Linked DNA regions of Macaca fascicularis. The protein of the gene in region 2 purifies or fractionates together with the protein of the main gene of each other region. This does not show direct contact. Links are inferred from orthologs where the notes say so. Each region holds a gene or a part of one and is shown on either strand. Other genes may lie near its edges.

Region 1 (4,290 bases), on a different chromosome or scaffold from region 2:
GCAGACTTCTCTAAAGGGCCAGATGGTAAGTGGTTGACATTTTGGAGGTCGTATAGTTTCTGCTGCAACTATTTGCCTCTGTCACTGTAGCACAAAAGCAGCCACAGACAATACATAAACAGATGAACATGGTTCTGTTCTCATAAAACTTTATTTATGGATACTGGAATTTAAGTTTTACATTACTTTTTACCTGCTACAAAAACTACTACTTCTTTTTGTTTTTCTTTCCCAACCATTTAAAAATGTAAAAGCCATTCTTAGCAGACTACACCAAAAGAGTGGTGGGCCAGATTTGACCTTCAGGCCACAGTCTGCTGAGCCCTGTCGTTTCGGCCACTCTTACCTTCGCGTGTAGATAAGACAGGCCCCAGTGCTTAATACCTTGTCATTTGCTCCTTGCTTTACCCATCCACAGCAAAGACCTGGATACTCTTCACCAAAAAATGTACAACTAAGGAGCTTTATCAACATTTTCTAAATGTTAGGAGTAATATTAAGATCTGTCAGACAAGTATGCCAGGTCACAGTTTAAAGGATATTGATATAATGCCATATTGTGCATTAAATAAAAACAAGAGGAAAATATAATAAACTTGAGAAACTCACTGAATTTGAAAAATAGGCTTTATTTTAACCAGTGGTATTGTCTGACATCCTATATGGCATAACTGATTACAGCCAAGTTCATGGATACAAATAAAATAGCAATTTCCCTCATTCTCTCTTTTGTTTTCTGTTCAGAGAAATCAGGAGATGGGAGCATTATGCTCAGAAACCGAAGAGCTCTTCCGAGAGCTCCAGCTTAAGAGTCCAGGCTTCCGGAGCATGCAGCCTCCTAACACGTATGTGGTCACATGTGCAAAGACCTTTATTACAAAATATTCAGAGCAGTATTTCTGTAGGAAATCACACTAGCATTTACAACCAAAACATGGCTGACAAAATTCATCTTGCTGTGGATGGTGAGGATTTGAACTGCAATAAAGGAGATGAGGCCTTTACGTTCACTCTCCTTGAAAGGGGGAGAGTCCCGGCTGAGAGGGAATCAACATCAGTCTGTCTCCTTCCTTCTTGCTCCAGTTGACTCGGGGGTCCACCCGGTCCCTCTGGAGTACGTTTATCACTGCACTGATTGAGAAATGGAAACACCTTGGCCCAAATACAAGATTCTGTCACACAGCCAACACTGGAAGTGACTTTATACTTTCTTATTACACAAAAGGCTTAAATATACGAGTCCTCATGTAGAACAAAATGCCTGAAATTCAGCAAATTATGAAAACAACTCTTCTCCACCCCTGAGGATATTTTATCTTTATAAAGTTGAAAATACAAAATATTAAAATAATTTGCCCTTTCTCCCCATCAAAAGGAATCACATTTTCAAAGGATTCCTGCAATATACAAAATTCTGAAACAAAATTTATTTCTCCCCAAACCAAGAAGTCAATGATAAGCTGCCAAGAAGACCCTTTTCCATAGAGGAGTGGAAAAGACACCTTGTTACTTTTTTATTTTAAAGTAATCATATTTAGAGGAAGATAGCAGTTTTCTGGCCTTATGGGCTTTAATTTTTTACTTTGATTTTCAGCATTTCTTAGCATTAGTTATTGGGAGTGAAGAGAATAACTTGTTTCTGAAGTTTGGGATATTCCTGGGAAAAGCCCTGATCTTTCCCATGATAACTCCTCAAAAATAGTTGGTTGAAAACAGATGGCATGAATGAAAATGCTGTACATCCATCTGTTCCTCTTTTCATGATTTTCACATCAAAAGCACCTGAAGTATCAATTGTGTTCAACACAGAATAGCACTAGGGGCTGAAGAGAGGATGATGTCACTTGCCATAATATCAGCTGAGGTGACATGGGATCTAAACTACCCAAGAAGTCTTCACTGGCAAACCTGCCTGACACCAGGGCCTCCTGAAGAGAGCAGGACAAGCAGCTGTGCATGCTCAAATAGCAAGACATGCAAAACACATCCTCACTCTGCTAGAAATAGAGTACACAGGAAGTACATGACATCAAGAACCTGCTTCTGACTACTGGGGCAGATATTCAAGAAACCTCTGCACCAAAGGTGAAGGGTAAGCAGAGAAATGGCAACACCTGGGGGTGAGGGAGAAAGAGAGACGCACATATACGCATGCACTCACATGCACACATGACCGCCTCTGAAGGCTACCTGGTTACTCCGGGCCCACAAGCAGCCGTCCAACAACCCTCTCAACTTGCCCAGCTCAGAACTTCAGCAGCTGCAGTCTTTTAACTATCTACACTTTCTTCTCTCCTTTTAAGGCACAAACATATTTACAGTTTCAAATACACCTGTCAAGATCTGAGAACCATACGAAGCAAGTTAATCACAGGCTAGTGCACAGAAGCCGGTTGGTCCTTTTTGGCTGTACGCATCACTGAGGGACAGCGTTGGGTCTGAAGCAACCAGAAGGTGTGGGCCTTCTCTTGTGCCACTGTGGGATGTTGTCAAGTCTATGCCCCACCGTCAAGGTGGGGGTCACAGGAGAAGCCAAAGTGGCAAAAGCATGACCAGGATTGGGGACAATTCATATTTTTTTACTTTGCATTGAACATATTCCTAAAAAGACAGCAGCTTGCCTGCCTGAGCCAACTCTCAGAAAGAAGAGCAAGGTGGAGGCTGCCCTGAAGCATCCACAACCTCATGTAAAGTCACCACAACCTCATGTAAAGTCACTGTGATCATAGTTTGTTCATATTGTCTTACCTTCCCACAAAGACAGACACACACATGCACACACACTAACACGCGCACACACACCCCCTTCCACCATGGAGGAAATCTCTGCAACAAGAGGCACTTGAATGATATTTGGAGAGTTCCCATGAAAAGGCCTTCCCCTCACAGTGAAGTGGGATCGACAGAACAGAAACCAGGTGCTCAGGACTCCATCTCTTCTTGGTCGAGGGGCGGTGGCACAAAGCTGACGACTTCATCATAGGTCAGGCCTAGACATCGGGAAGGAAAAGTAAGACGTGAGAGTTTAGGCTGTTCTCTTTGCTGGCGAGCACTCTGACTTCACTCAAGATCCTTCCTCCCTGTCCAGGTAGTGGTATGATGGGCTACCTCACAGCTGGTATGTAATATTCTAATGGAGCACGTTATCACACAGAAGTTCGAGGGACATAGAAAAGAACCTTTTTTTTTCCTCATGTTTTTCATTGCTGAATGCCTCTTAAGTTCTCTACGGAGGTGCTCAAGAATGAAAGAGCACTCTCACAAGCTACGGCAACAGATGGTCTTGGCTCTTTGGATTTAACTGGAGTTCTGAACTTGTGTTTTATGGAAAGAATATGGGACTGGACACAGGATACACGGGTTCCATTCCTGGCTATGTCCCTAACTAGTTCTAAGTTAACTGATAAGACATAAATTCTCTTTGCCCCAGTTCTACTAACTGTAAAACTGTAAAAATATCCTATTCTTTACTTAGCTCAGAGAGATGTTGTAAATGCAATAACTCTGAAAACCTCAAATCTCCATGCAAAGCTCCTATATGTGAGGGGCTGTGCATAAAATCAGACCAGATGTTAAGTATCTCAAAGGTCCAGAGAGTATCACTGTCTACAACACTTTCCACCAGAGAACATATTCATTCTGCATTACAGACCTCAACTACAAGCTTTAGCAAGTTGGTTATGACCATTCAGTTTTTATTTTCCCACCGCTTTCGGTTAGTGGTACAAGATGTTAATCCTACCCTTAGGACTTACTTTTCCACTCATCTATAAGGAGGTCCCTGCTTTCAAAGGACTGATCATAAGGATCGGCCACTGGTTCATCATCAGGATCGTGGTACTGAGCAAAGTAGGCATGTGCAAGGGCTTGGGCTGCTGTAATTCTCTTATCTGAGTCCAATACAAGCATCTTCTCCAGCAAGTCGACAGCTATCAGTACCATAGACAGGAAGGAAAATAGTTTTTAATATGTTACAAAAAAGTATGCCTTATTAAGCAAACATAGTTTTGACCCTTCATATCCAAACAAGGAATTCTCCTCCAAAAATACCTACTCTAGGATATACTGGCCCTTTTCTCCTTTACGTGTGTGTGTGTATCTGTATTTTGTATGTTTAAAATGTTTTATTTTATTTTTGATTCGGGGGTACGCGTGCACATTTGTCACATGGGTCTCACGGATGGGGACTGGGCTTCCAGTGTGCCCAATAACCAAATAGTGAACATTGTGCCCAACAGGTTATTTCTCAACCCTCACCCTCCTCCTGTATTTTGTATTTTTAAAGAACAT
Region 2 (4,081 bases):
AGCCAGCTCCTGAAGGGCCTTTGCAGGTCATGAGGGGCCTTTCCGGTAAAGGAACGACGTGCTCTTACTTAAATTTTAAAGGATCGCCGCTGGGACTGTTGTGTAGAGAATAGCTGCAGGGGGCCAAGGGTGGAAGCTGGGAGACCAGTAAAGACGCTATTATGGAAATCCCGGGGGGGTGGGGGATGATGGCTGGAACCAGTGTGGTAGCTATGTGGTGGCTCGCCTCTGATTCCCCGTGTAAAAAATGGAGTTTAGGATCCCTGCCCTGTGTGCAGCCCACAGCCTCAAGCCCCTATGGGGATGGAATGCCGGAAACCTCTGGCCAGCATGGTAACAGCCTGCAGAATACCGGAGATTGCGGGAGAATTGTGGGGCGCATGGGCAGCTCCCTGCGCGTCCGGGCCCCTGGTGCCCACGAGAAAACCGACAGATGCGTGCCCCTCGCCGCACGTCAGGGGGGCAAGACTCAGCGGAGGGAGGAGCTGTCCGCTCACTCTAGCTCCCCAGAGGCTGAACAGGGAGAACTGGGAAAAGGGGCGCCTCCTCAGCGTCCTAGAACTGGTACTCGTCACCCGGTATTGCGTGCGCCCTAGTATGCGGCCGCTCCACTTGCGCAGGTGTTGGTAACATGGGAGGAGCGCCACAGCATGCCCCCAGTGAGCCGACCCCCCCACCCCCCACCCCCCACCCCCCAATTCTGCCCCCTTTGTCTCGCTGGCCCCTACTCCCTCTGTCTGCCTGTCTGTCCCGTCCCAGGTTCAGCGCGCACGGCCCTGGCAGGGTCCCTCTGGCGGTTGCCGTAGCAGCGCGGCCCGACCCGGGGCTCCCAAGAGGAGAAAAATCATGAATGAAATGGATGCGATGCTCCCACTCCTCCGCCCTCCCTGTCCAGGCAACCTTGGCTTGAGGACAACGACTGCTGGGACTCCGCGCAGAGTTGCTCGGGAGAGGGAGGCACCTGAGATGAGGTCAGGGGTTAAGGGTCTGTGATCCGCCCCCTTCGTGCCCCGGGAGCAGCCCGATCTCCCGGTCCCCAGCCCCGCCAGCCCTGCGCAATTCCCGGGGAGCGGCGCCAGCCCGCCCGGGGGCGGGGCGGAGCGGAGCCAGGGCTGGGGGGTGCCAAACCCACCCGGCGGCTGCGCCTGCGACTCCGCAGCTGAAGCGCATTTGGTGAGGCTGTAGGGCGAGGGAGCGCGCACGGAGCGCGGGACGGAGCGCCGGGCGGACGGACCGAAGGACGGACGCCCCCGCACACGCAGACGCACAGAGCTCGGCGCGGCCCCCGTCGCGCACACACTGGCACAGACACAGGCAGGGACACACGCAGACACACGCACACTCGCGCGCGCACATCCTCCCGCCAGCCTGCCCGCCTGCCCGCCTGCCCGCCTGCCCGCCTGCCCGCCTGCCCGCCTGCTCGCCGGAGCCCGGAGCCCGCAGCCCGCAGCCCGCAGCCCGCAGCCCGCAGCCCGCAGCCCGCAGCCCGCAGCCCGCTCTGGCCGGTAAGTGCAGCGCCTCCGTCGGCGCCTTTGTGTGCGGAGCCGGAAGGTGCAGGGCGCGGGTCCCTCCTTGGGGTGGCCCCGCAATTGACACCTTCTCCAGTCCTCCGGGCCGAGGAGTCGGCGCCCGCCCCCGCCACGCCCCCGTGGGGCTCCGGGCGCCCCCATGCTGGGGGAGGGGTCCCCCAACGCAGAGGAGGGGGCTCGGCGCTTGGTAGCCGGGAGGGAGCGGCAGCCACTCCCCACGAAGCCCGTGCGCGGTTCCGGGGAGGAATCGGGATAGTGTTTTGGAGTGTGAGCCTCTACGGCCGGCGGAGGTTGGTGCGCGGCTCTGGGCTGCATTGCCTCTTCAGAGCCTGAAGCCCCTGAGGGAGGTTGGAAACCGCCGCTACCCTTCCGGTCTCTAAAGCGCGGCTCCCAGCCTTCCCAACGCATCGCCTCCACCGACCCTTTAGCTTTAGCCTCCAGCGTCCCACCCTCCCCCAGAATAAAAGCTTAGCGCGCTCCCCTCCCCCAGCATGCAGCTTGTTTCTGGATGAGGCCCAGGCTCCTGCAAAACCGGAGATTGCCCGTGTAAGAACCTTGGGAGGCTTACCTTATCCAGGATCACAGGGCTTTAGAAGATCCGGGCCAGACGAATCTTCGGAACTTAGTCAACCTCCTCATTTTACAGGTGGGGTAACTGAGGGCCCAGTAAGGTGGCTTGGCCAAGGTGACCGGAGAGTTAGTGGTAAAGCTTTCATTAGAATCTAGGGTCACAGGTTTTCATACTCATGTCCCCTCCTACACAACTAGATCCCACCCCCATTGAAGCCCCAGAACCCCAAAATTCACCTGAGTGTACCACGAAAGTGTGTAATTCCAGCCCTGCCTCACTTGGAGGGGCAGGTGCCATTCATTTGCTATCATCCCTACCTGCTGTACCAAAAAACGGGGGAGGGGGCTTTAATTTGCTTCCTTCAACCTCAAAGGAGAGCTCTCACGTCTCTTATGCAAACACTCAAACACTCCGAGTTTGGGATTCCGTTTGGGAGAATGAAGAAGCCCTGGACCTGAGATCAGATTCCCAGGCGTTAATCCTGATCCACCCAGGACACATTGAGCCTGAGTGTCCTCAGTTGGACCAGGTGATGTGGCATCCCAGGATTTGTCCTCTTCTCCACTGTGTCCTGACTGCGTGCCCTCCCAGTCACCCTTCCCTCCCCCTTGAGGGCCAAGTCTTCTACTCCAACCAGGCCCCTTTAGTCATCCCTTTGCGGAGGTCCCCACCTCTTTCTCCTTGGGGCTTGTTAAGGGCAGCCTCTTGGTGCTGCTGACAAAGCTGCTGGGGAAGCTTGAGTTACAATCACACCAGGCTCGGGTGCTTTCTCAGCACAAGGCTCCATCAAGGGCAGCCGGGTGTCCCCAGAGCTGAGCCTGAAGCCTGGTGCAGAGAGGGTGCCCCGAGAGGTGTGTTGAAGGAGTACAAGCACAGACGGATGGTGAAGGGATGGAGTCCGTCACCTTGGAGGAGACTCTGGATGGAAGAGTTGGCAAGGAGGCCAGTGTTCAGTCTCCAGGGACCTGAGGTTCTGGTCTCAAGAACTTCCTTTTTTAATTTTATTTCCATAGGTTTTGGGGGGACAGGTGGTGTTTGGTTTCATGAGTAAATTCTTTAATGGTGATTTGTGAGACTTTGGTGCACCCATCACCCACAGTATACACTGAACCCAATTTTTGTAGTCTTTTATCCCTCACCCGCCTCCCTCCTTTCCCCCAAGTCCCCAAAGTCCATTGTATCATTCTTATGCCTTTGCATCCTCATAGCTTAGCTCCCACTTATGAGTGAGAACATACAGTGTTTGGTTTTCCATTCCTGAGTTACTTCACTTAGAATCATAGTCTCTAGTTCCATCCAGAACTTTTTTGAGGGGTGAGCAGCTCATCATGGAGCTGAGCCAGGGTGGCCAAGTGGCAGAACTTCAGGGGCTGCCACTGACAATGTAGTCCATACAGATGGCATTGGCTATGAAGTTTACACAAACTTCATAATGAATTGTGGCCCCTGGGTTTTTGCCGTGTAGGGGTTTCTCCCTTCAGAGTGGAGAGATCTGGATTCCAGGCCCAGTTTCTTCCTCACTGGCTATACAATGTCAGTATATAACCCTTCTGGGTCTTAATTTCTCCATCCAAAAAATAACATCATTGGATTGATGATGTTATGAACTATTTGGCGGTGGGGTAGGGGGGAGCACGTATTTATATAACTGCTATGGGCTTCTTTTGCTCTATGAAGGAATAATTTCTGACTCAAGAATAATGTATGTAGAGTACTTAGTACAGTCCCTAGCACATACGAAATGCTCAAGAATTGGTAGCTAGTAATTCCACTAGGACCCCAGCTTTGTGGATATACCCTATACGTCTTCCTTTCTTCAGATCATCCAAGGACATGGGATTCTTAAGGCCTCAAAAGTCCTCCTCCCTCAAAAGAATCCTTTCCCCACTGACCTATTCCTGGACTTCAGGCTCAGCCAGCATAAAACATCCATGAAAACTCCCTGGGAGGAGCAACACTTTTGTTTATTCAACGTTTTGTA

Evidence for each region.
Region 1: the proteins of PTPN5 (region 2) and MAPK14 purify together in Homo sapiens (affinity purification with mass spectrometry; 3 studies listed by BioGRID and IntAct, with this or other methods). This does not show direct contact. The link is inferred for Macaca fascicularis from reciprocal best matches to the Homo sapiens genes PTPN5 and MAPK14.

What each region holds. Positions count from the first base shown.
Region 1 is NC_088378.1:135,562,104-135,566,393, forward strand, and holds the end of MAPK14 (mitogen-activated protein kinase 14), read right to left. Parts: intron 3,930-4,290; coding exon 3,756-3,929; intron 2,991-3,755; coding exon 2,923-2,990; 3' UTR 610-2,922; downstream 1-609. UniProt on the Homo sapiens protein: Serine/threonine kinase which acts as an essential component of the MAP kinase signal transduction pathway.
Region 2 is NC_088388.1:46,908,707-46,912,787, forward strand, and holds the start of PTPN5 (tyrosine-protein phosphatase non-receptor type 5), read left to right. Parts: upstream 1-1,149; 5' UTR 1,150-1,505; intron 1,506-4,081. UniProt on the Homo sapiens protein: May regulate the activity of several effector molecules involved in synaptic plasticity and neuronal cell survival, including MAPKs, Src family kinases and NMDA receptors.